Danio rerio: one gene and its partner. The protein of the gene in region 1 interacts with the protein of each later gene in a biochemical or structural test. Links are inferred from orthologs where the notes say so. Each region holds a gene or a part of one and is shown on either strand. Other genes may lie near its edges.

Region 1 (12,171 bases):
TGGATATGGCCCCTAGTGGAGGGCTGGGCGGAGCTTTAGGGGCGTCTGCATTAGCCAACCTGCCTCCTCCCTACCAGCCCGTTAGCATCAGACAGCTGGGATCATCCTCCAGTCTAGATGAGCCTCAGGACTACCTTTGGCTGCTCAACTGTGAGAGCAAAAAACCTGAGCCTAACAGGTAAATCCCAAGCTATGTCTCCATACACTTATTTTTGTGCACATTTTGGATTATTGCATTAACAAATGCTTGATTAAAATGCCAAGATGCATATAAACTTTGATGATGCGCATAAAAAAATAATACGATAAGCTATGAAAACAAATTCGATAAATAATACGATTAATACAATAAACGTTTAATTCAATAAAAAATGCACATAAACTACGATGGAAACACTTTTACAGAATACATTCATTTTAAAAAAGTGATGTGATTTTGTTTTAAGACTTCATGTGATGATGAGAATGCATGTGATGGGATGCATTAATGGACAACTGAGCATGCTGACAACATTGTAAAACATCTGACATGTTGTTTTGGTCATTCTAGTATGCTGTAACTATTTCAGTATTATTGTTATAGTATTAGTTGCCTCCAGAACTGTCAAGATCGTCGTGTTGGCATTGTCCTCTCAAGCACAAGCGATTTATTCTGTACCTCAGCAAATTCCGTTGTTCTTTTTGATATTTGGCACCAGTTTATCAGGACGTGACTATTTTGTTCTCTTTGACTCATGGGATGGAAGTGCTTCTTTAATCTCAACTCTTTTTATGTAATATTCTAATCTTGCGCATAGTTTTATTTTGCATCTTTGGATGGAAACATAGCTACAGATGTGTATACAGACATCCTTTGGCATAACGGTTCACTTTTCGCAGCCTCGCAGTTTCACCATTTTTTTGTGCAATTCGACATGCTATTTTTCTACATTGTATTGTGTTCTGCGCCCTGATAGTGTTCTGTGCCCTGATTGGCTGTAGAAAGTTTTCAATCAATTTCCTTAATGCTGTGTTTTCTGTACAGTACAGAATGCGTTCAGCTTGCCAAATTTACATACATCTTCGATCGCTAGCAATGTTACTCTAAAGTGCTTTACTGTAAAAGGCAGAGGAAGATGCTAACCATTCCACAAAAAGTAGAACTTCTGGACATGCTAAAGGAAGGTAGAAGTTACACTGCTGTAGGGTGTCATTAGAGAAAATAAATAAATGATCAATCAAATATTTGGTTACATTTTATAACACTGGACTTATTTTTCTACGAAGGTTTGAACTTTGTGAGTGTTTAAACAAGAGCTAAAAGTGTGAAAAGGTTAATGCCTGTCTGAGAAAAGTGTATGAAGTATGTTATGAGAAGTTTTACAGCCTTAAAACATCTATAATAATTGTAAAAATAAAGCAGACTATTTCAAGGATTTTGCCTATTGTGGGTTATTTTTAGAACATAACTCCCTCGAATAAAGAGGGACCCATTTATTGGCTATTTTAAAAGATGGCTCATCCATCAACATCTCACGAGCAAATGTAACTTTTGTGCATATTGTTAAAAAAAATGGTCAACTCGAAAAAGTTCATGCAATTTCGTTCTTATGAATATATATGATTTTTAACAGGAGGCATGGGCACAAAAACCCACCACTACCCCTCTCTGGGAGATGGGAAAATCGTACTAAAATATATGAATGAGATTAAGGCTGCACGATATCGGAAAAAATTGACATTGCGATATTTGTTTTCCCTGCGATATATATTGCGATATTTTAAAAATTCAGAATCGGGAGTTTTGAACTGCTCAAAAATTAAATAATCATTAATTCTATAATAATTTGGGTAATTTTTTAAGCATTTTCATAGAATATAAAAATTAATAAGTAAAAACACTTTCTTTTGGGTTGTTTATAAAAAATATGACTTAACTGTCAATTCAGATAAATCAAGGATCTAATATGTTATGATATTAATACTAAATGTTGCTTTTACTGTGATAAAGGTAAGCTCATTTGGTGAATGTAAAGATGACACTTTATTATCACATTTAGGAATTAACACGAGTGACAAAATAAGTTATTTAACTTTTTAACAATTACAAACTTTTTTATTACAACAATTAAAAAACAGAAGGAAATATCTCGTCACAAAATTGTAAAAATATAAAAACAGCTAAACAATAACCCCCTGAGTGGTTTAAAAAAAAATAAACATGTTATAAAACAATTGTGGATAAGATAAACTTGTTTTAATAATTACCAACAATTAACTTTACAATAAATAAAATAATATGGCAGTTATATATATATATTATTGTTATTATTATTTTTTTTGCTTTGCATCGCTCCTCCTGCAATGTGACTATTGCGGATGCGCACATCGCGATTTTGATGCTGAAGCGATGTATCGTGCAGCCCTAAATGAGATCATACAAATTAGCCACTAAATTAGTTGCCATTGGAATGCATTGTTTTATCCAACAGTTTGTTATATAGGATTGTTCCCTTTTTGAGTCTGTTGTATTTATATCAGTGTATATCAGTATCAGCGTTATGTAATGTAAAAAACCGCCCACCTCTACTGAAAGCTTTGAGTACGTTCAGGTATGATGAGTAAAGATCTGGAAATAAGGGGCTCATTGTGTGTATTTGTGTGTGGTGTAGTCTAGTTGCTCCTCTTTGTCTAGGGGAGGAGGAGCAGGAATACCTGCTTTTGGAGGAGTGTGAGAGCCGGAGCGCTGCTCATGACAGTCAGTGAGTGAAGAGCATCAGTGTGAAAATTCAGTACTAAACCGCACACACATTTGGCCAATAGTCTGACACTGTTGTTTTTACCTGAATGTGTGCATACCTTTTTTCAGTAACTTCCTAAAATAAATACTTTACTTAGTTTTTGTTTTGCATTGTGTATCTAAAACTGTGAATGCACAGTTTTAATTGGGATTTGTGTGAATTGTGACATGCATGGTTGGGTTTGACACTAACCTGGTTGTAACACTTTATAACGATTAGTTAAATGCCCTGAAATACTATCAGCAATGTTATTTTTTTTCCCTGGATGTTCATGAAGAGTTGAAACTAACTTGGTGTACCTTTAAAGTGAATTAAATTATACTGAGTTATTATGTAAATACAGTACATTCGGAAAGTATTCGTAGTGCTTCTCTATTTACACAATTTATTGTGTTACAGCCTTATTCCAAAATAAATTAAATTAATTTATTTCCTCAAAATTCTACATACAATACCCCAAAATGACAATGTGAAAAAAAGATTTTTTGAAATTGTTGCAAATTTAATTAAAATTTAAAGACCTGAAGAATCACATGTACATAAGTATTCACAGTCTTTGCTCAGTACTTTGTTGATGCACCTTTGGCAGCAATTACAGCCTCAAGTCTTTTTGAATATGATGCCACAAGCTTGGCACACCTGTCTTTAGGGATTTTTGCCCATTCCTCTATGCAGTACCTCTCAAGCTCTATCAGGTTGGATGGGAAGCGACAGTGTACTGTACAGCCATTTTCAGATCTCTCCAGAGATGTTCAATTGGATTTAATTTTGCGCTCTGGCTGGGCCACTCAAGGACATTCACAAAGTTGTCATGAAGCCACTCCATTTTTAATTTGGCGGTGTGCTTTGGGTCATTGTCTTGCTGTAAGATGAACCGATTCCCTAGTCTGAGGTCAAGACCACTCAGAAGCAAGTTTTCATTCAGGATGTCTCGGTACATTGCTGCACGCATCTTTCCCTCTATCCTGACTAGTCTTCCAGTACCTGCAGCTGAAAAACATCCCCACAGCATGATGCCACCACCACCATGCTTAACTGCAGGGATGGTATTAGCCTGATGATGAGCGGTGCCTGGTTTTCTCCAAACGTAACACCTGGCATTCACGCCAAAGAGTTCAAATTTAGTCTCCTTACACCAGAGAATTTTGTTTCTTATGGTCTGGGAGTCCTTTAGATGCCTTTTGGCAAATTCCAGGTGGGGAGTGGCTTCCATCTTTTTTCACTTTGTCATTATGGGGTATTGTGTGTAGAATTTTGAGGAAATAAATGAATTTAACCCATTTTGGAATGAGACTGTAACAAAAAAATGTGGAAAAAGCAAAGCGCTATGTATACTTGCCGGATGCACTGTATGTGTCACTCATCTCTCCATAACAAAATAACTGCAAATGACAGTAATAAGAACATTAAAAAAAGCATCTGATCATATTGTTGTGGATTTGTCACTTTAGTCAACTAAAGACACTTTAAGAATATTTATGTAGCACTTTAAACAGAAGATTACTGTAAAGCATGCATCTGGACAGATTTTATCATGACAATGCAGTGTTAATATTGCTTTCATTTAGAATTACACTTCAGTTTCTTCTGTAAAGTGACTGTTCTCTGTATTTTTTTAGATGTATCACTTAACTTGTATGGGCTTAAAAGTAAAGAAATTGGAACAGATTTCCAAATCATAGAAGACAGAGCCCTGGAGCACAATAATAGTTTGAAGATGTTTACCAACTAAAGCTAAATTTATGTTTTTTCTTTTGTTTTTGTTTTTTCAAACCATTTAATTCTTCAGTTTCACCTAAAGTATACTGGACTCCAGAGCCTTAATTGTCGCCATCTGTGGTCAATATTGTGTATTGATTGTTATTTATATTTGACCATCATCCCAGACAGCCAATCTCACAGTGTAGATACTTTATTTCTCTCATGACACACTTGTTTTGTTCTAATGTCATAGCTGTCAATGATTTTCAAATAATCTATTTATTGATTTAATGTGCATTCAGTAGTTTTTCTTTTCTAGCATTAGTATTACTTTGGTATAATAGTAAGGTTTAGTGGCTGCATGAATAAATAAAGGAACGTGAATTACTCAATCTTGGGTATTGACAAGTTTTTAATCTTTCCAGGCTTTGTTTTACTTGGTTTAAGTCCTTTTCTGGATATTATAGGTACTGATTTCCTTTTTTTAAAGTTAATAAGTAATTTTTCACTTTTTGCGACAAAACTACACTGTTACAATTGCATCTACAACAGGAAGTGTGTCAGTTCTCTCTGAGGATTAGAGAAACACATTGTTTCATCAAGGCAATACTTATCATTTCATCATGGCAATTAAAACACATTATAGTTTTAAATTAGTACTAAACAATTGAATGCATCTGTAATGAACAATTATTGCAAAATAAACCACTTCAGCAATCAATTACCACACACTAATGACATACTGAGTGTATATTAACTTTTAAGTGCCAGTTAATTATTAAATAATAAACTTTCTATATTTTTGTATTTAAGACTAATTTGTAATGCAAAAAAGCATGATGACATGACTAGTTTTAGAACATGAACATTACAGTGTATTTTATACAGTTTAATTGCTCTTCATTTGCATTATTAAATACATTTTGCATTGAAAAGTTAACTGACAATCTGCATCTCATACTTTGGTTTCTTTGCAGGGCTCATGGCGACTGCTCCAAGTCTACCTCCTCTGAACCTGACTGTAATGACAACCTTCCTTCCCACTACACACCCACCTCCTCCACCTCCAAAAACGCCCCGGTCAATGGTTTCTTTTCCACCCAACATCCCACTGGGCTCTACGATTCTCCTCCTTTGCGCGGGCAGTCATTGTCGGCCGACTCACAGGGCCTGTACCACCTGCCCCGAAGTTACTCTCAGGACACTGTGCTGCTGCCGAAGTCGGCGACCTCCCCTCCCATTCCTGACGGTGAACCTGGTGAACTCTATGTCTTTAACACACCTGGTCGGAAACCCTCATTAGAGGCCCATTTGCGGAACTTGTCAGTTAGCTATGATATTCCACCTACACCTGGCAGCAATTCCACCTACCAGGTTCCCCGAACAGCAGGAGTGGAGGCTGTTTCAGGGTCCACAGAGGTAATTCCACCACCACGTCCACCAAAGCCTTCAGTGAGTGGGGGATCAGTCCCCCCTGAGCGATCGCCTACAGACACTTATGTGGTACCGCGGTCAGTGTCTGAGACTGATACGAATTACTGTGTTCCGACAAGTGCAGGAGGCAACAAAGCACTCAGAAGCAACACCATTGGTACGGTGGATTCTTCACGTCTGCGTAAAGGTAAGAAAATATTATGTATTTCAGTCATGTGTGCTATTTTAACCTTCATTTTTTTTAAGCATAAGAGCAGTTAGCTTAACGTTTAGTTATTAAGACAGGTAAGTTTCACAATGGGTGTCACACCAAGCCAAAGTCAAAGAATAAAATAAACGTATAAAATTAAGTAATTATTCTCTCTCATGTTGGTCGAATTCTCATTTGACATTTTGTTTATCTTCGAAACACACTTTAAAGGGCACCTATGATGAATATCAACTTTTGTAAGCTTAGACAGAGCTGTGTGCAGGTATAATGTGTCCACAGTCATATTGGGGTGATATAAAGACAATAAGTCTCTTTTTTTTTTTTAAATATTCTGACGTTAAGATAGGATCCAAATCCCTCCCATTTTGAGGCCCACCGCAATGTGATGTAGGAGTACGGTTTTCCCTCCCCACCAAATAGATTGACAGCCGCATATTAACATATCTCCGCTATACGCATATAATTATATTAACAAGACAGGTCTTGCGCAAAGCAACTGGTAAAAGATCTGTTCAGCTCTCTGTGATCATCTGTACCTCAAGAGTGAGTTTTACAAGTTTGAAACGTTTTTAAAACGGTGCATGTTTGTAATAAAGAAAACACAGTAAAATTGCTGTAATTCATCACCACAGCAGCATAGTGTCAGTCTGATTATAAAAGAAGATGCTTCAATCCTATTTTGTGGACTTAACTCAGGTTTATTTTATACATCATATCATTTTATACATTTTTATGGATGTCCATACAGCAGTGCATATTAACGTCTATCCTGTCATATTTGCTGTGCAAAACAGTGCAAAGTTAAACATGTTAGCATGTGTGCATGCTTGCGCCATTGTGTGACTTACTGTTCCAGAAAATCTTTAATTAACTCCACAACAAATGCATCAAATAACCATAAGTCCTTACTGTCATATTTCCCATTCTTGTCTGTCACTGTGCTGTTTATCTGACATGAGTTGCAGCAGGTGAAGGCTACATGCAGAGCTATACAGAAAGATCTCTATGGCTCTGAGGTGCATGCGGGAACGGTGGGCGGGGAGAACTAGCTCATTTGCATTAAATGCACAGGCAACAAAAACAACTACAGTGACCTAAAAGCTCAAATTTTCCAGATTCAGAAAGGTAGAATAAATAAACTGATCTGCAGTTTAATCTAAAACTTTACAGACAGTACAAAAAAAGTACAAAATACTTATTAGATATTCAATCTTGAAAAAAAGGGGTAAAATAGGTGCTCTTTAAGATATTGTTGATGAGCTCCCTCATCCTCTATAGACAGAAATGGTCCAGAGAGAGTCAAAATCCAGTAAAAAAAGGAAACCCAAACATTGTCAACTACATGACATGCAAGCACATATATTACCTATAGTACATTTTTTAAATGAAAAACATCGGCCAACAAAGGTATATTTAGATTTGTTTTGTTTTTTGTGAAACAAAAGTGTTTTTGGAGCTTGGTATGATTACAGTTGAGCCACTAAATGGACATGAAAATATTTTGACTGTTTTTGGTCCTTTTTATGAACTTTGAACATCTTAGTAATGTTGTTGTCTATGCATGAGGAAGCTCTTGAATTAAATAAAAAAAAATCTTTATTTGTGTTATGAAAATGAATAAAGGATTCAGGGCATGAGATGACATGATGGTAAACAATTAAAAACAGAACTCAAATATTTGGCTGAACTACCCCTTAAAGAATTTTGTGCATTGATTGCATCTGGGCAAAATGGCATTCTGTAAACACATTTCAAAGACATGTGTTATGCCCGTACATGTAAGGAATTGATTGTCTTTATCAGCAGGTATTAGTAATCAGTATTCCTCATCTGAAAAGAGAAACCAAAAGGAGAATTGCATAAATGCAAATGGTGAACAAAGCAGCACTTGCTTATGGTTTTTAATATCAATTATGTTGGTCACTCTCTTCATTACAAACACCATGAAATAATGAAAATATTTGCATGTTGGAATGCTCAGGTATGATGACACAACACAAGAACAGCATACTGTCTGTGGAATTTTCATTACTGTCATTTTAATTCTCGTAAACTGAATAGCTAATCTGAGTGATTTGCCTCGCTGATGGCCCTGAGGCTTATTCAGCATGATGAATCGGCAAACTGTTGCAGATGTGAAATCAACTAGAGCAAACATATGGAAAACACTGAAAAAATACAGTTCCCAGCAATGGCCATCAGTTTGTTGTGTCATTACCCCAATAGTTTGAACACAACATTTTTTGTCAAATAAGCTTTATTGAAGACACAGATTGAAAAAGAATAGGATTCTCTGTTTACTTATTTTGTCGAAGAACAAAACATTTGCTGGTTCCAGTTTTAAAACTGGAGGGATTTGCAGATGGCGTCCTTGCAATCTTGGGAAGAATGGTATTCAGTGCTGGTAGTCTGCTGCATGTCAGGTAGTGTCACTTTGATTAAGAAGCAATGACGCACTAAACTGATTGACAGTAAGGACATTTGCAGTGTTACAAAAGTATTATAAGAAGATGTATCACAAAGCCTACAACAACTATTGTTAAGCAAGCTTCTGTTTTCAATATTGATCATACAAAGACTAACCTTAAACATCTGAGTTCAAACAAATTACATTCATTTCTATAGCACTTTATACAAGGGATGGACTGGAAAAAAGGCTGATAAAAGTTATTAATAATAATATTTAATTTTTGTGGGACATATTCAATGCATCAAGCAGGTAGCAGAATGATGTGGTAGAGAGCTGGTGTAGTTCTGTAAAATAAATTAAATGATTCTAAAGAGTTATGAATACTAAGGTCTGCTCTGTATCTATTTTTTTCTGATTGACAATTCTATCATCAAGCTGTTTGTGGTGAAATCCTGTAGTCGCGAGGGGGTCCCTCTAGTGTTGTGTGATGGTATTGTGAGAGTTTGAGAGATTGTTTACATGCACTCCCTTCCTCACATTTCTGAAGGATCATGTGACGTGACATGCTTGGAGTAATCACATCTGAACATTCAATCAGAGCAGTAACAGAGTTAAAAATATAATAACACATTAAATATTATCTTTTTGCATTTCTTTTCTCCACAGATTACGGATCTCAAGATTGCTATGATATACCCCGGCCCTTCCCTTCAGAAAAAAGTTGCTCGTTTGATTTTAATGAAAGTTTCAACAACTATTTTGTAAGTTTTCTATCTTATTAAGCTTTATCTTTATACAGTGCTCTACATAATTGAGTACACCCCATTTTGAAAATGAATACTTGTATCCATTTCTTAGTGAATATAAGCAACATATTTTGGTGCATTTAAACAAAACAGATTTATTAAACAGATGTATTTATTACAATAATATTTCAGTCACCAAACATTTAGAAATTAAAAGATAATACAATTAAATTCAAGCAAAATATTGCAAAAAAAAAAAAAAATTACAACCTACAAAATTTCAACTAATTTTTTTCAATTTTTTCGCTTCTATTGATTTCTCCTCTTTTTCTGAATTTGTATTTAATATTTTTCTATATCATATAAATTTGGGTGAACTTGTTTTTGGACCATTTTGGTAATTTATTTTGTTAGATAAGCTCCAGATTATGCTTCAGTACTGACTAATATAATGTATATGCACAAATATAATATAGCTTCCTATTAAAAATATGAGTTTAAAAGATAGATTTCTGAGGGGTGTACTTGTATATGCTGAGCACTGAATATCCCAGTGCTCATTTTTACCCTTTCTTTCAAGTGTCTCAAATATTTCTAACCTGTGTCTGTTTTTGTATGCATGTAGAAAAATAAAGGCATGGTGCCAGTAGGAGGTGTTTCTACAGAGGAAATGGATGAAAACTATGTTCCCATGAGCGTCCACTCTTTGTCACATCAGCGCTCCGGCAGCCTATCAGAACCTATACAGGAGCCCAACTACGTCCCCATGACACCAGGCACAGTGGAGTTCTCTTCCCTTGGAAAACAGGTGCCCCCTCCAGCCCACATGGGCTTCAGGTCCAGTCCCAAGACACCACCCCGTAGACCGATTCCTATATCTGAATGCCAACCTCCACCCATAGACCGCAACCTCAAACCTGACCGTAAAGGTGAGCCCTGAGGTTTGTTTTTATCTTTTCTGTTAAGAGAAATTTGTGTGCTTGCATCACTTCAGCGCAGCAACTTAACAAGTACTAATTCCATTGCTTTCATTACAACCTTTCCTACTAACAGGTGCCGGCCCATGCTTATAAAACCGCATCAAAAACTGCTGATCAGATCCCAAAACTCAGATCTTTAGCGAACTAGTCCACAGCACGGTTTCAGTGGCCTTTGCCTTTTAATCGTTAGCATGTGACCTCACAAATGAAAGAAGCTTTTGTCCACAGATTCAGAGCTCTGGGTATGAGGGAGCCTGTCTGTGCCGTTAGCCTGGAGCGGTCACCTCTGTCCCCATTGTGCCTTAGTCAAAGACCTCTTTGATGGCCAGACCTGCGAGGGGAATTTCAATCTGGTCCAAGACAAAAAAGGGGACGTGCTGAAAGTTGCACAAGCAGGCCGAAACATCAGCAGCCAGCTGGGACAGCACTATTGATCTAAACATTATGGCAGCAGTGCTCTGCTCTGCTCATCAGAAACAATTCTGTATCTTTAATTACTACAGTTTCTGAAATACTACTGTTTATCAAATACACACTATAACCATCATTTTTTGTATGTAGTCCATATGGTTTACATATTTGGTTAGCTCAGGGTTCGTTTACATGATAGTGACATACAATTCTTCATACAATTACTACAATTATGGCTTTTGCTTTCTAAAACTTAAATTTTCAGACCCCCAATACATTATCGTCATGTCAATGAACTGCTAAAAGTTTTCAGTTTTTATATGAAAACAGAATTGGATATAATTTATGCGTAAAGCATAAAAGTTATGTTACTTAATAATTAGCATAGATATGTTGCTCTGACGTACACTAAAAAATAATACACTCAAAGTCATGACATGTTTCTGTTACTTTATTTTAAGTTTATCAGTTTTCAACATAATGTTATACGAATTATAACGTAATATTGTATGTTTAAAGGTATTTAGGTTTTTAACTGTTCTAAAGCATAAAAATACCTAATATGTTTGCAGATATTTAAGAAACAAGTGAAATTGTGTGTCTGCGACCAAATTGCGACCTCCAGTGGACAGTAGCAGCCTCCAAATTGAGACTCAGATTCAGAGTTCCACATAAGGTGGTTATTAATTAGCAAATAATATAAATATTACAAACGTAAACATTAGGTGAGCAGGTTACATTGTAACCTTGTGTCCTGACAACATGCTACATGATGAGATACAAAGTGATAAGCAATTAGGCTGTTTTCACCAGACACAACATGACAGAAATTAAAAACAGCCATTCAGAAATACAAAATAGTGCACTTACTGCACGCCAACGAAATGATAAGGTTTATAATCTGATTAATACATTTTAAACCTCTTTAACATTTTCAAATGTACATGCTGAATCAGTAATATATTTTGGCACTGTTCTAAAGTTAAATTTTATAGTTTATTTTCAAGATCTGAGGTGAACTATCTGCACCGCTTTCTGTAGTATGGTAATTAATGTCATGTAAAATGGCATTCAAACTCACATTATTAACATTTAACACTGAATAAAGCACCTAAGGTGATCATTGTCAGTTTTCTGTTGCTCAGCTACAAGAAATAGAAGTCATTTCTAAAATCTAAATTTGAGGTGTTGGTTAGGACGTGTGCCATTGCTTTTATTTAGAACATGATTCAAATCAGCCTTTAGGCTCGGTAGTCAGGCTCGTTAATGTTGGTTTTGTCAATCTGGCAACCTGCGCTTGGGTGTGTTTTGAACCAGGCGTGCAATACCTAGTTCAACCACTGGGTGTAAAACTTTCTTTCTGCACCTTTAATTGATGTACTGTTAGCTGAAGTGAGTTGTGGAGTGAGCTAAAAGATTTAGGCTGCAATAAATTGTTACAGTGTGAGGTCATGGATCACAAAGATCAAGATATGGATAAACCTTCAAGAAATGCCAT
Region 2 (12,108 bases), on another chromosome or scaffold:
GCTTCGTCATCATGTGAATAATACAAATTAAATGAATACCAACAAATAACATGTACATAAATACATGATCTATTAACAACTAAAACTAACCAGTATGTATTTCCTTCACTGCTTTTGCACTTTTTTTTTTCCAAGTGCATAATCCAATAGTGACAGTACATTTTGTTTTTCATTACTGTAGACTATTTATAACATTTTAGTTAAGTAATCTGTGAATACATTTTTTTTTTACTTCTAGATAATAGTATTTTTCATTTTGAAGCTACTAGATAGCATTTTATTAGCCATTGACCAGTGTGTGTGTATTGTAATAGCACTACATTTTGGTAGCGCATTATTTTACTAGTCCTGTTTCACAGTCCACAATCATTACCAAAACTTGGCAATATCCATGTACAATTACTAAACCTAAATCTAGCCTTAATTTTCTTTGATAAATATAAAGTACACATATTGTAAAATGCAAAGGTCCTTTCCTTTATCACTGGTTACCTAACTAACAACATACTGTAGTTTTGGTCTTGTTTAATCACAGGATTGAATGTATACTTCCTAGGTTTAAAATATTGTTAGTGAGTTTTAATTTTCTAATATGTATAAGTGGCATTTAGTATCAGTAAAACTAGATTTAAATGAATAACACTGAACTAATGAAAACTGAATACAATTACTGAACTAGTAGGTTATAGTAGTAAATGTCCTGCTACCACTTCTGTTAAACAAAATGCTAATTTTTGAATCACTGACCTCCATGGGCATATAGGTAATAATAAGAGCAGTAGCAATGGAAATAGATACATTTGGAATGTTAGAACAGCAGCAAGAACCAAAATATTTTAAAAAACTATAATAATTCAAAATTTTGAAAAAATGATAAGAAATGAATAACTTAATTTTAAGGCATCCGTGTTGCAAGTTCAATCTACTTACTGTTGTAATTACAATTAATCATGCATGATTACATGACACTAAACCTAACCAGTATTGTAACCCTAACAATACATTAAGTGCATGTAATTAATTAATACTTAGTAGTTCAATGGATTGCACACTCGCTGTAACAGGGCCACCTTTAAAAATGAACCAAAATTTGACCCTGAAAGTCAGGCACAGATTAAGAATTCAGAGGCCCCTGGGCACAATGTCTTGTAGCCCCCCTACCTGGTCGCACCCCTATAATTGAATTAAAAAATTAAATTATTATCATATTTTGTAATAAAATTAATCTATATGTTATTGCCCACATTTTTTTTTAAATAAATGATATACAGTACATATACATGTATTTCAAGTCTACAAAGATTCAACTTATTTTTGAAGCATTTAAAGCACACTTTGAAAAAAAAAAATACTAATACAACTAGTGGAAATTAATGGATTTTAATATACTTATTCAGATTGACTGAAGCAGTGCTAAAATTTATATTTAAGGGTATTTTTAATGTATAATCTCTACAAATTTAATAATGCATATGATTAGGATATAACCCCTCTCCAATCCAGTTCTATGAATCTGAGTCTTGCATAATACACATACTTATTAATGATTCCTACTTGTCTTCCTCGTGATGAAGAGTAGGCAAAATCTGATATGTAGTAGGGGAAAAAGAAGAATGAGCTCACCAGATGCTGGATTCGAACCGGGTTCATGATTGATTGTGTCAAAACATGTAGCCATGCGCTTTACGAGCTATGCCACTCACACCGCTGTTAGATGCTCTCTTTAGTTAAGTTGTCTCTGTCAATCAAACGGTGATGAGCCAACGAGGTGTGCTATTTGCACGTAGACTAAATAGACACTACAAAATCGGCGTTTCCCCCACCCTCGCAGGGGCCCCTGGGCCTGTGCCCATAATGCCCATTGGTTAATCCGGCCCTGCTGAAGGTAGTGAATAGTCTTAGCGGAACTGATCACATGCCATTTTCTAGAAACATTGTGAACACCAAACAGTAACAATGTAAAACTTTATTGGGATACTATGGGATAGCTGAAATGTAATTATTACCAGCATCTAATATATAATTGTTTTGACTAATGGAAAAAATAATTGATCTCTAAGATAAGTTTGAGTGAACTATTATTAGGCCTACTAGTGGAACTCAAAGACATGCTCTTCATTAACGTATTGTTACTTAAAGGATATTTCACCCCCAAAAAATAAATAAATAAAAAATTATGATAAATGATAGATGATAAATTTACTCACCCTCAAGTGTTTCCAAACTTTTATGAGTGTCTTTATTCTGAACACAAAATAAGATACCTTGAAGAATGCTAAAAAACCTTTAACCATTGACTTCCATAGTACATTTGTTAAAACAAATATTATTAAAGTCAATGTTGACAGTTTTACAGCTTTCTTCAAACATCACATTTCATGTTCAACAGAAGAAACTCAAACAGGTTTGGAACAAGTTAAGGGTGAGTAAATGACTTATTTTGGGTGAACTACCCTTTAACTATGTATTTAAAATTATTCTAGTTTTTGTAGGTGTTTTGACATAAATGATAAAATGCCATAGACTCCTACCTTTGTAGATTCTTGAATGAGTTTGCGTACCACCTCTTTAATATGCGGGCTGTTGGATTTCGGTGGGTGGGTGTAAACCGACACCCGAGTCACCCCTTTGTAATGGCCGTTGCTGGGCCAACCGATGTCCAGCGGAGGGATCTCCGTGTCAGACATGGTGGGCCAGTAGGTAGAGTGTACGCCCGAGTCCTCGCTCGTATCATGGGGCGACCGTGAGCAGCAGGTGTCCGAGTCGCTGTCATACTCCTGGAAGGTCTCCCGCATCCACTTGATCTCCCTGGCGGACAGAAAGTCTTTAACGCTATCCTCTTTTAGGCGCATCTTGAACGCGCCATCCCCGTTCCTGAGGAGCTGCTCGAGCGCGGCCCGCTGCTCCTCACTGTAATAAAACTCCGGTTTGGACTCGGGTATTTTCACGTTTACATGTTCATCGTCCATGCATATTAGTTGAGACTCAGCCATGGCAGCTGCGCTCCCGGAAACAACGGGTTCACCTGTGTGGCTTCTTCAGGCAGCCCTCTCTACCCACCTTTACCTGTTTGAGTGGTTTGGCTGAGGTGATTCAGTGCCGAATAGAGTGGGTGGGCGGGGATTCGGAGCCGATGGGCGGGACTTCAGAAAGGTATTGGGAATTGACATGACGACACTTGTTTAACTTACAACAGAAGACGGATCAACCTGTCACGGTAGTTTCCCTGTCTGACTTTTTTGTTTCAAGATAACTGACAAGAGTCAGGAAGGTAAACAAAGGAATGGACACGAATACAGCTGCCAACAGGAAAAGCTAAACTAAAAAAGTTTAACATTATTCACATGGAAATAACAAAGAAAATTTGGGAACAAAGGGTTTTTAGTTTTAAGTATGGCGTTAAAAATAACACTGTATTTTTGAAAGCACTTTTATTCAAGTTCTGTATAACACTGCTGTTATCATGTTTGAGTCTGACATCTTTTCCATCCTGTACAACAAAACAACATGCTTTGTAATAGGCCTGTTTTGACAAATTGTTCGAACTGGTAAAACATATAATTCAATACAAAACGGTAACAAAACCTTGCTAACTGTAAGAACTCCTGTGTTAGTGTGTCCTTTTGAAAACCTAAAATAAAACGCTTTTATAAATGATCAAGGTGATGACAAGTGTCCCAGCAAACACCGAACACTGGCCAAATGTACTCACTAGGCCATAATAACATTTTCTATGTAGGTTGCAAAACCAAACCAACAAAGAATGTTTTGGGAATGTTCTGGCCAACTTTTCCACTACTTGTAAACTGGGGTCATTGTGTATAAATGTACTGTATAATTCAATAATCTGTATCTGGGAGAGTTTGACTAAAAGGAATGGAATGGTATAGTCCTTTCTTCGTACCTTATTTCTAAAATAAAAAAACGGTTATATATATGAAAAAGAGAAGCACGAAAGACTTTGATGAGAAATATCTTTTTCTCAGTTGTCTTCAACAGTTCTGCAGCAGTCTATATGAAATTCATTTGAATTTAATGGACCAGTCCATACATTGTACATGTATTTGACTCTTGGTATGGTGATTCCACACCTTTGAGTATTAGATCTGTTCTGTGTAATTGGCAGGGAAAAGACCACTCCTGCCCCGCAATCGACCTTTCCACCATGACGCATCCGAACGGTCCAGTACTTCAATGATGTCACCGCTATTGAAACCCAATTCATCGTCTTCCTCTGCTGTGAAGTCATATATTGCTCTCACCTGTATGGTTGATCTCTGACACACACACATACACACAAAAACAAACAGTGTCAGTACCATAAAAGATACCAATATTCTCCTGAACTTTGTTCTTCTATAGTCTATCTTTTTTTATTTTATTATATTAATACTATATTATATTACATTATATTCTCTTTTCGGCTTATCCCCTTTATTAATCAGGGGTCGCCACAGCGTAAAGACCGCCAAATTTTGCAGCATATGTTTTACACAGCGAATGCCCTTTTAGCCCCAATGCAACACTGGGAAACACCCATACACTCTTGTATTCACACACATACACTACAGCCAATTAAGCTTATTCAATTCCCCTATAGAGCATGTCTTTGGACTGTGGGGGAAACCGGAGCACCCAGAGGAAACCAACGCCAACACGGGGAGAACATGCAAACTCCACACAGAACCAGTGACCTTCTTGCTGTGAGGTGATCGTGCTACCCACTGCGCCACCGTGACGCCCTATATTATATTATATTATATTATATTATATTATATTATATTATATTATATTATATTATATTATATTATATTATATTATATTATGAAAATAAAATTGACTATCAATATACATGTTAGGTTTCACTAAGAAAACAAGAATAAAAATTGACATATTTCTGACAAAGTAAAACATTTTTTGCACAATTATAAATCTTAAATTCATAGAAACAACAAAATTCCCTCATATCTGTATATACAGTATGTGTTTTTGTCTCAGCTTAGTTTCTGGGACAAGAATATATTTCAACACTGACATTATTGCACACATGACCTTTACAAAAAAAAGTTTACACAAGATCTACACGTCATAAATTTTTCAAGATTTCTGGCATCCTACCGGAGCAGGGGCAGTTTCAGAGGTTCGTCGAGGGGCCGGGCTGTTCTTCCCTTGGTGACCCAGAGTGTTAGATTTCTCCTCAACACTTCCTCTCTTACCCTGAGAAAATTGCACAACTTTACTCATTAGAAAGCTATTTTTTTTCTCGTTAAGCAATATGCATAACAATTGTAATTCTATATTTATCTTAATGACACACTTGTGCACACACACACACATATCATTATATATTCATTATTTATTTAAGCTTAAAATGTTTTAATGGACAGTTGGTTTGCTGAATGGATAGAGGCCTCTGTAATTCAGTTTGAATGGAAACATTAATAATTTAACAAGCATTTTCAGTTTTTAAATGCAAGGTCAGATGGGGCAGAATTTCCCTGCTGACACATTACTACCTTTTGGTTGTGAGTTGGATCTGTTGTGCTGCGGTTTTGTGATGAGGTTTGTGGACTGCCATAGCCACCACCTGGGGGAGGCCGAACTTCTGGCTGACTCTTTATCTGAAAGCGAGGACAATTTTAATCAATTAAAAGTGAAGAATATCCACCATAGCATTTCACTTTTTGATTCTCTTACATCAGCTATTCCTTGAAAAGCTAAAGGGAAATCAGCAGATTCATGAGTGCAAAGAAGATGAACAATTTAATTATTAAGCTTGAGTTCACTGAGTTTGTGCATGAAGTTCTGCATGAACAACAATCTAGAATATTAACAGTAAACGTGCTGTGTTTATTGGTTTAAATCGAGAGATTATTTACAGGCGGGGGTGCCCTTGGCTCATCTCCACTTCCATCCCTAAGAAAGATCTCCTTCTGCTTGGATATAGAGGTGGTCTTGTAGAAGTCCACAAGCTTGTTTAGAGAGGTAAACTTCTCTGTCCACAAATAATAGTGGCCCGATTTGTCCTTCATAACTTTGAAATGTTGCACATCATAATCGTGTCTGTGAACAGAGAGGGATAAAAACAGAACATGAAGTTAGATATAAATAAGTGAATGTGAGATGTTTATTTATATATATATTTATTTATATATATATATAAATTTTTTTTTCAACACATTTATTTCAGGGTCTTTTTAGTCATATGATGGCCTAATATAATAATAAATTCACACATACCTACAGGGTGGCTGCAGCAGGAGGTTTCGAAAACCAGGCGATTCTAATGTCATTACTCGATTGAATGGGCGTTATCAGTGGTTATCAGCTGATAGATATGGGCCAGTTGGGGCTTTCTGCACCTACTTGTAGGCTCATAAGGCTGTTATCATCCATATGGCTGTGGGCGCAGAAGGCCCTACTGACCAATATCCATCACTGATAACACCATTTGATCCCATTTGAGTGATAACATTAGAATCGGGTGAGAAAACAGTGTTCACAACATAATGCTTTAAATATAATAAGAATAAATTCAGATTTGATGAGTTTCACATATTTTCGGTCACGTTACAACAAAATTTCCTTGTGCTTTCAAATTGAGCTACCAAAATGAGATTAGAGTTAAATACAGTTAAATAACCATAAAATGAATTTAGTGAGATACATCGCTGCAGGCACCGGACGTTAACATGATGCACGCCAACGTCGTGGAGACATTGGATTTTGTTTGGAAATGAAAATCGAGTTGACGTCAAAATCAAACACCTCAACAATAATCAACCTAAAATCAACCAAATATCAATGTGTAATCATGTTACACCTTGACGTTGTATCTATCAGACGTTGAATTTTGGTCACTTTCCAACATAACCTAAAATCAACCATTGAACATTTAATGTGAGACAGAGTTTTTTAGATCTTTACATTTGATGGATAATTGATAAAGAATTTTGATCTTTACAAAGAACTTTATAAAACATAATATACTTAAAATTGTTTCAAGATATGTTCTGCCTACTTTTGCTTTGTGTTACTTTAAATAACGATAGGATTCAATTCAAGTTCAGTTGTGCAGTGCTTTCCACAAGTATTACAAGGCCTTTATATTACAAAGCAGCAATGTGTTGTGTATATGGCGGACAGTACAGTATGGTTATTTTTCATTGGATGTGTAATCAATTCAGAGTACTTCATTTCAGTTTCAGTCAAGACTTTTCATTTTATTATGGTAATATTTGATTTGAAATGTTTTTGACTCCTATAAAAAAAGTTTCTTATTCCGGCAACCAGCATAGGGTATATGCAGAAACATGCTAATGGGACTTTTAATTTGCCAGTAACCTGGATTAACCGCTTCCAATGAACTGAATGCCATTGCAAAATCGCAAGATCTCCACTGGCTGAATGAAATCCAATATAAAGTGGGTCTCAGATTGTACAAGAAGCACTGCATTAAATTACATTTTCCCCACCATGTGTTTATAATATAAGCATTTTTTTTTCACCCAAGTATAATCAATGGAGTTTCTACGCTCCTCTGCTAATTCTGACAGGTGCGTGCGAGTAAACGGCTTTTTGTCTCGTTTTACATTTGAGCAACTACATGAATGCCAAAGTCTATTTAACTGATTGTATTTAAATTGCATTAAAACATCGATGCTGTAAAAGGACCCATTTAAAATTGAAAGAAAACTCACAATAAAACGTCAAAAGTTTAAAAAGTTTAAAAGTTTATCAGTATGGGAAGGGAACAACATTAGCTCGGCATATACCCTATTTTGAAATTGGTCAAGACTTGGCAAATCTTTTTTTAAAATATTGTTTACTGATATGAAAGATTTACTGTAAAGCATAATAAACAAATGTATATTTTCAATATACAATCAAAATATATTTTCAACAAATGTACATAAAATGTATAAATGCATATATGATCGCAGGCTGAACTTTCAATTTCATATGGTGGTATTAAAACTGGCTTTCATTTATCTTGTTTACATCTTCAGACACAATTAAAAAGTAGCAATTCAGCCAAAGTCTTTATCCGAAGCAGGTTATTCAAGTTTAATTACGAGTCCTGATGTATTGAATTCCAGCAGGTTTGAATAAACAAGTTAACAAAACCTGCACAACCTTCTCTCTGCACTAGAGGGAACCCTCTCTCATTCTCTCTTTCTCTTTCTCTCTCTCCCTCAGTCTTACAGTGTGACCTACTGTATAGCTGATTTATGAGAGGATGGCTAAAACAAATGGACTGTCTGACCGCTGTAATAAGATGGATGTTATTGATGCATTATTGATGGGGTTTTTCCACAGGCTAGATTCAGTCTGTGCGTGTGTGGGCAGAAGCTCTCATTTGTGAAAGTCTTCCAGCCTCGTGGCCTTAGTGGCAAGAAGACTGACATTAATATTTGTGTGGTTACAGCTTTATAGCATTCAGTGGCCTTCACAAGCTAGCTGAAATATTAGTATTAGGCTAACAAGTCACTTTATATAATTTGTTTTATTTTTGTGCAATATTATTCTAATAGGTGCTTGAGGAAAAGATGAAAAGCCTCCATACTTTTGTGCCTCCCCCAGTCATAAACAATATCACAATATCATTTTTAAAGGGATCTTTCACAGTTATTTTCTTCTCTTTTTTTGATCTGTTTATTAAACTTTTACAGATATAACAAAGTCATTTTACAGGAAAATTTAAACAAATATTATTTCCACCCCAACCATCTAAACAAGATGAAATTACAATTATCTAAGAGAGAAAATAAATGAACAAATAAAGAAATGAATAAAAAATTTGAATAAATTAAAAACTAAAAAAATAATTTTAAAAAATGTAATAAATAATAATAAAAAAAGCTGTAAAGAATACATATATACCTTGATAATTCAATACTACAAACAATTATCCTCAGGTATTTGTACAATGTACTTAATTACATTTGCTTTGCAATTGAAAGGCCCTAAGATTTAGATTTGTATTGCCCTAAGATTTAGACAGTTTGAAGAGATACTGACATGCTCAGAAAAGAAAATTCTAAATTGGTCTCATGTTTCAGAAAAAGCCCTTGTATTGCCATTTATTGTAAACCTGATTTTTACTCATTGCATCTTGCAACCAATTGCCAAAACTCTGGGGAAATCTTTGTTTCTAAATAAAAGAATACACCGTCTTGCTAACAGTGTCAAAAATGCAAGGGTGTTTGCAGTACAGCTCGATAACCCTGCTATATTCTGAGAAAGTCCAAAACGTGCAATAAGAGGTGTCCAGTGTGCATCTTTGAAAATTGATAGCCAAAAAGAAGTGATTGACAGACAAAGCCAAATCATATAGTTGAGGTCAAAAATATGAAACCCCCTGAATTATTAACCCCTGTTTATTTTTTTCCCTAATTTCTGTTTAACGAAGAGAATATGTTTTCAGCACATTTCTAAACATAATAGCTTTAATAACTCATTTCTAATAACTGATTTATTTAATCTTTGCCTTGATGACATATTTTACTAGATATTTTCCAAGACACTTCTACAGTATACTGCTTAAAGTGACATTTAAAGGCTTAACTAAATTAATTTAGTTAACTAGGCAGGTTAGGGTAATTAGGCAAGTTATTGTATAACGATGGTTTGTTCTGTAGACCATCGGAAAAATATATAGCTAAAAGGGGCTAATAATTTTGACCATAAAATGGTATTTAAATAATTAAAAACTGCTTTTATTCTAGCCAAAATATAACAAATAAGACTTTCTCCAGAAGAAAAAATATTATCAGACATATTGTGAAAATTTCCTTGCTCTGTTAAACATCATTTGGGAAATATTTAAAAAAGATTTTTTTAAAAATCAAAGGGGGTTTAATAATTCTGATTTCAACCGTTTTTATTAAGTCTGCAGGTTAAAATGAATTTCTTCATCCTCCAGTTGTTCCATATACCTGTTTGAGTTTCTTTCTTCAGTTAAACACAAAAGAAGATATTTTGCAGAATGTTGGAAACTGATAGTAACAACATAGATACAGTGCTCAGCTTAAATACTGTAATAACACCCCATTTTAGCAAATGAATATTTATTCCATTTCTCAGTGAATAGGAAATATATTTTGACGCATTTGAACAAAACAGATTTATTAAACAGATATATTTATTAAAATAATATTTTAGTTACCGAATATCTTTAGAAATGGAAAGATAATACATTTAAATTCATGCAAAATATTGCAAAAAAATTACAAACTACAAAATTTCGACTACATTTTTAGTTTCTCTTGATTTTTGCTCTTTTTGTTAATTTTGTAAATTTGGGGTACCAGTTTAGACCGTTATTGTAAATTATTTTATCTAATATATACGCACACATATAATATTATAAAGCATTTTATAGAAAATATTAATTTAAATGATGGATTTGTGAGGGGTTTCCTAGTACTGAGTTGTGGCTGAAAGGTCATCCGCTGTGAAATACATATGCTGGACTAGTTGGCTGTTCATTCCTCTGTGGCGACCACTGATAAATAAGGGACTAAGCCAAAGGAAAATGAATGAATGAATGGTTTGTGAGGGATGTACTTATATACTGTATGCTGAGAACTGTATATATATTTTATTCAATGGCTACTGCATTCCATCATCCTTTGTGTTCAATAGAAAACAGAAACTCATAAAGATTTGAAAACTCAAGGGTGAATAAATGTGAATTTTCTTCTTCATCTCTTGAAATTCACACTAAAGTATAAAGTAATTTTGTGACTTTAATAATAATTTTGAGTTACCTGACAGAGATGGAGAAATCTCCAGGTGAACTCTGGCTGCCTCGAATCAGGAAAGCGCCCACCTCTCGAGACATGAGCGTCTCCTCAGCTGATCCGCGACTGGCGCTCTCTTTAAACCAGCTGCAAAAGAATACATTACATTGTTCATTATGATCTATTTACAGATCCCACTATATTAAGTACTGCACGTTCAGTGATTATTTGCATGTGGTGTGCAAAGATTAGTATAATAGTATTGTAGCTTACCTCGGTATCTGCCTGTCAACATAGTTTTTCGGCACATAACCCTCATGGCCATGTAACTCTGCTTTGAACCAATCGTCCTGAGACCCCAGAATCTGTCAAAAAAACAGAAAAACATGCTTTTTAAAAATGACAATTAATATATAAATAAAATCAGAATTATGTCATTATAAGTCAGAATTGTTTAAAAAGATTTTATAAAGTACATTAACAAAATACATATATCACAACAAAACAAAGACAATAAAAGTTGAAATTTTAATATGAAATATTTAAAGTATGAGAAGTCAGAATCAATTGTCATGTTTAGGTCATAAAGGCCACAGACATTTTTATGACCTGACTTGTTTCACCATTTGTGACTTTTGTCATAGTTCATGTAGTAATTGCACAAGTGTGACCAGCCATCAAGTCAAAATACCTAATTATAACATAAAGAACATGATTGTTATCTAATAATTTTAATTATAACTATGACGCATGACTTTGTACCCAATAACATGCATTATTATGATTTTTCATGCTATAAGCAATCCTTTACATGTCGAAGATAAGCTTCCTTACAAATGTGGTTTTACTAAATAGATTTATAGATTTATTATTTAAAGGTGCAGTAGGTGATCTGCCAAAATGCTAACCGTTAGCATAATTTCTTTGAAAACACAGTCCCTCCCCTGCCGTCCAATGCCATGCCGCCTGAAATGACGTGCTTTTTAATCATGTCATTGGCCAAACTTTATACCGAGTATTTTTATAATACTACAATAACGAACAAAAATATCTAGCACGTTTTCAGTTCGGCAGCAAGCAAAACTTGTCATGATGTGTAATATTTCATGCATGTAAGGATCACTGGTCTCACTTTCTCACACGCTTTGTCCTAAAGCGACTCTGCTTAGTGGTTGGCTAATGGCGTGCAGGAATTACACTTATTACTAACCCATAATAGCATGCTATTTCAGACTGAATATTCAAAGTAGCTCGTTGTCACGGTTGCAGGTTTGTGCGCTCTTCCGGAGTGTCTGTTTGATCATGTGGGTTTGTTTTGTTTTTGTTCTCCATGTGTATTTGTTCTGATCACGTGTTATGACGG

The links.
Region 2: the proteins of gab1 (region 1) and grap2a form a complex in vitro, tested with the Homo sapiens proteins (2 studies listed by BioGRID and IntAct, with this or other methods). The link is inferred for Danio rerio from reciprocal best matches to the Homo sapiens genes GAB1 and GRAP2.

Annotation. Positions count from the first base shown.
Region 1 is NC_133176.1:38,714,524-38,726,694, forward strand, and holds part of gab1 (GRB2-associated-binding protein 1), read left to right. Parts: coding exon 1-178; intron 179-2,651; coding exon of another isoform or gene 2,652-2,741; intron 2,742-5,458; coding exon 5,459-6,102; intron 6,103-9,202; coding exon 9,203-9,297; intron 9,298-9,907; coding exon 9,908-10,211; intron 10,212-12,171. UniProt on the Homo sapiens protein: Adapter protein that plays a role in intracellular signaling cascades triggered by activated receptor-type kinases. Plays a role in FGFR1 signaling. Probably involved in signaling by the epidermal growth factor receptor (EGFR) and the insulin receptor (INSR).
Region 2 is NC_133178.1:28,207,746-28,219,853, reverse strand, and holds the end of grap2a (GRB2-related adapter protein 2a), read right to left. Parts: intron 11,111-12,108; coding exon 11,019-11,110; intron 10,893-11,018; coding exon 10,773-10,892; intron 6,064-10,772; coding exon 5,880-6,063; intron 5,622-5,879; coding exon 5,517-5,621; intron 5,218-5,516; coding exon 5,119-5,217; intron 4,278-5,118; coding exon 4,101-4,277; 3' UTR 3,417-4,100; downstream 1-3,416. Other genes in the region: fam83fa (protein FAM83F), read right to left, coding at 2,532-2,993. UniProt on the Homo sapiens protein: Interacts with SLP-76 to regulate NF-AT activation. Binds to tyrosine-phosphorylated shc.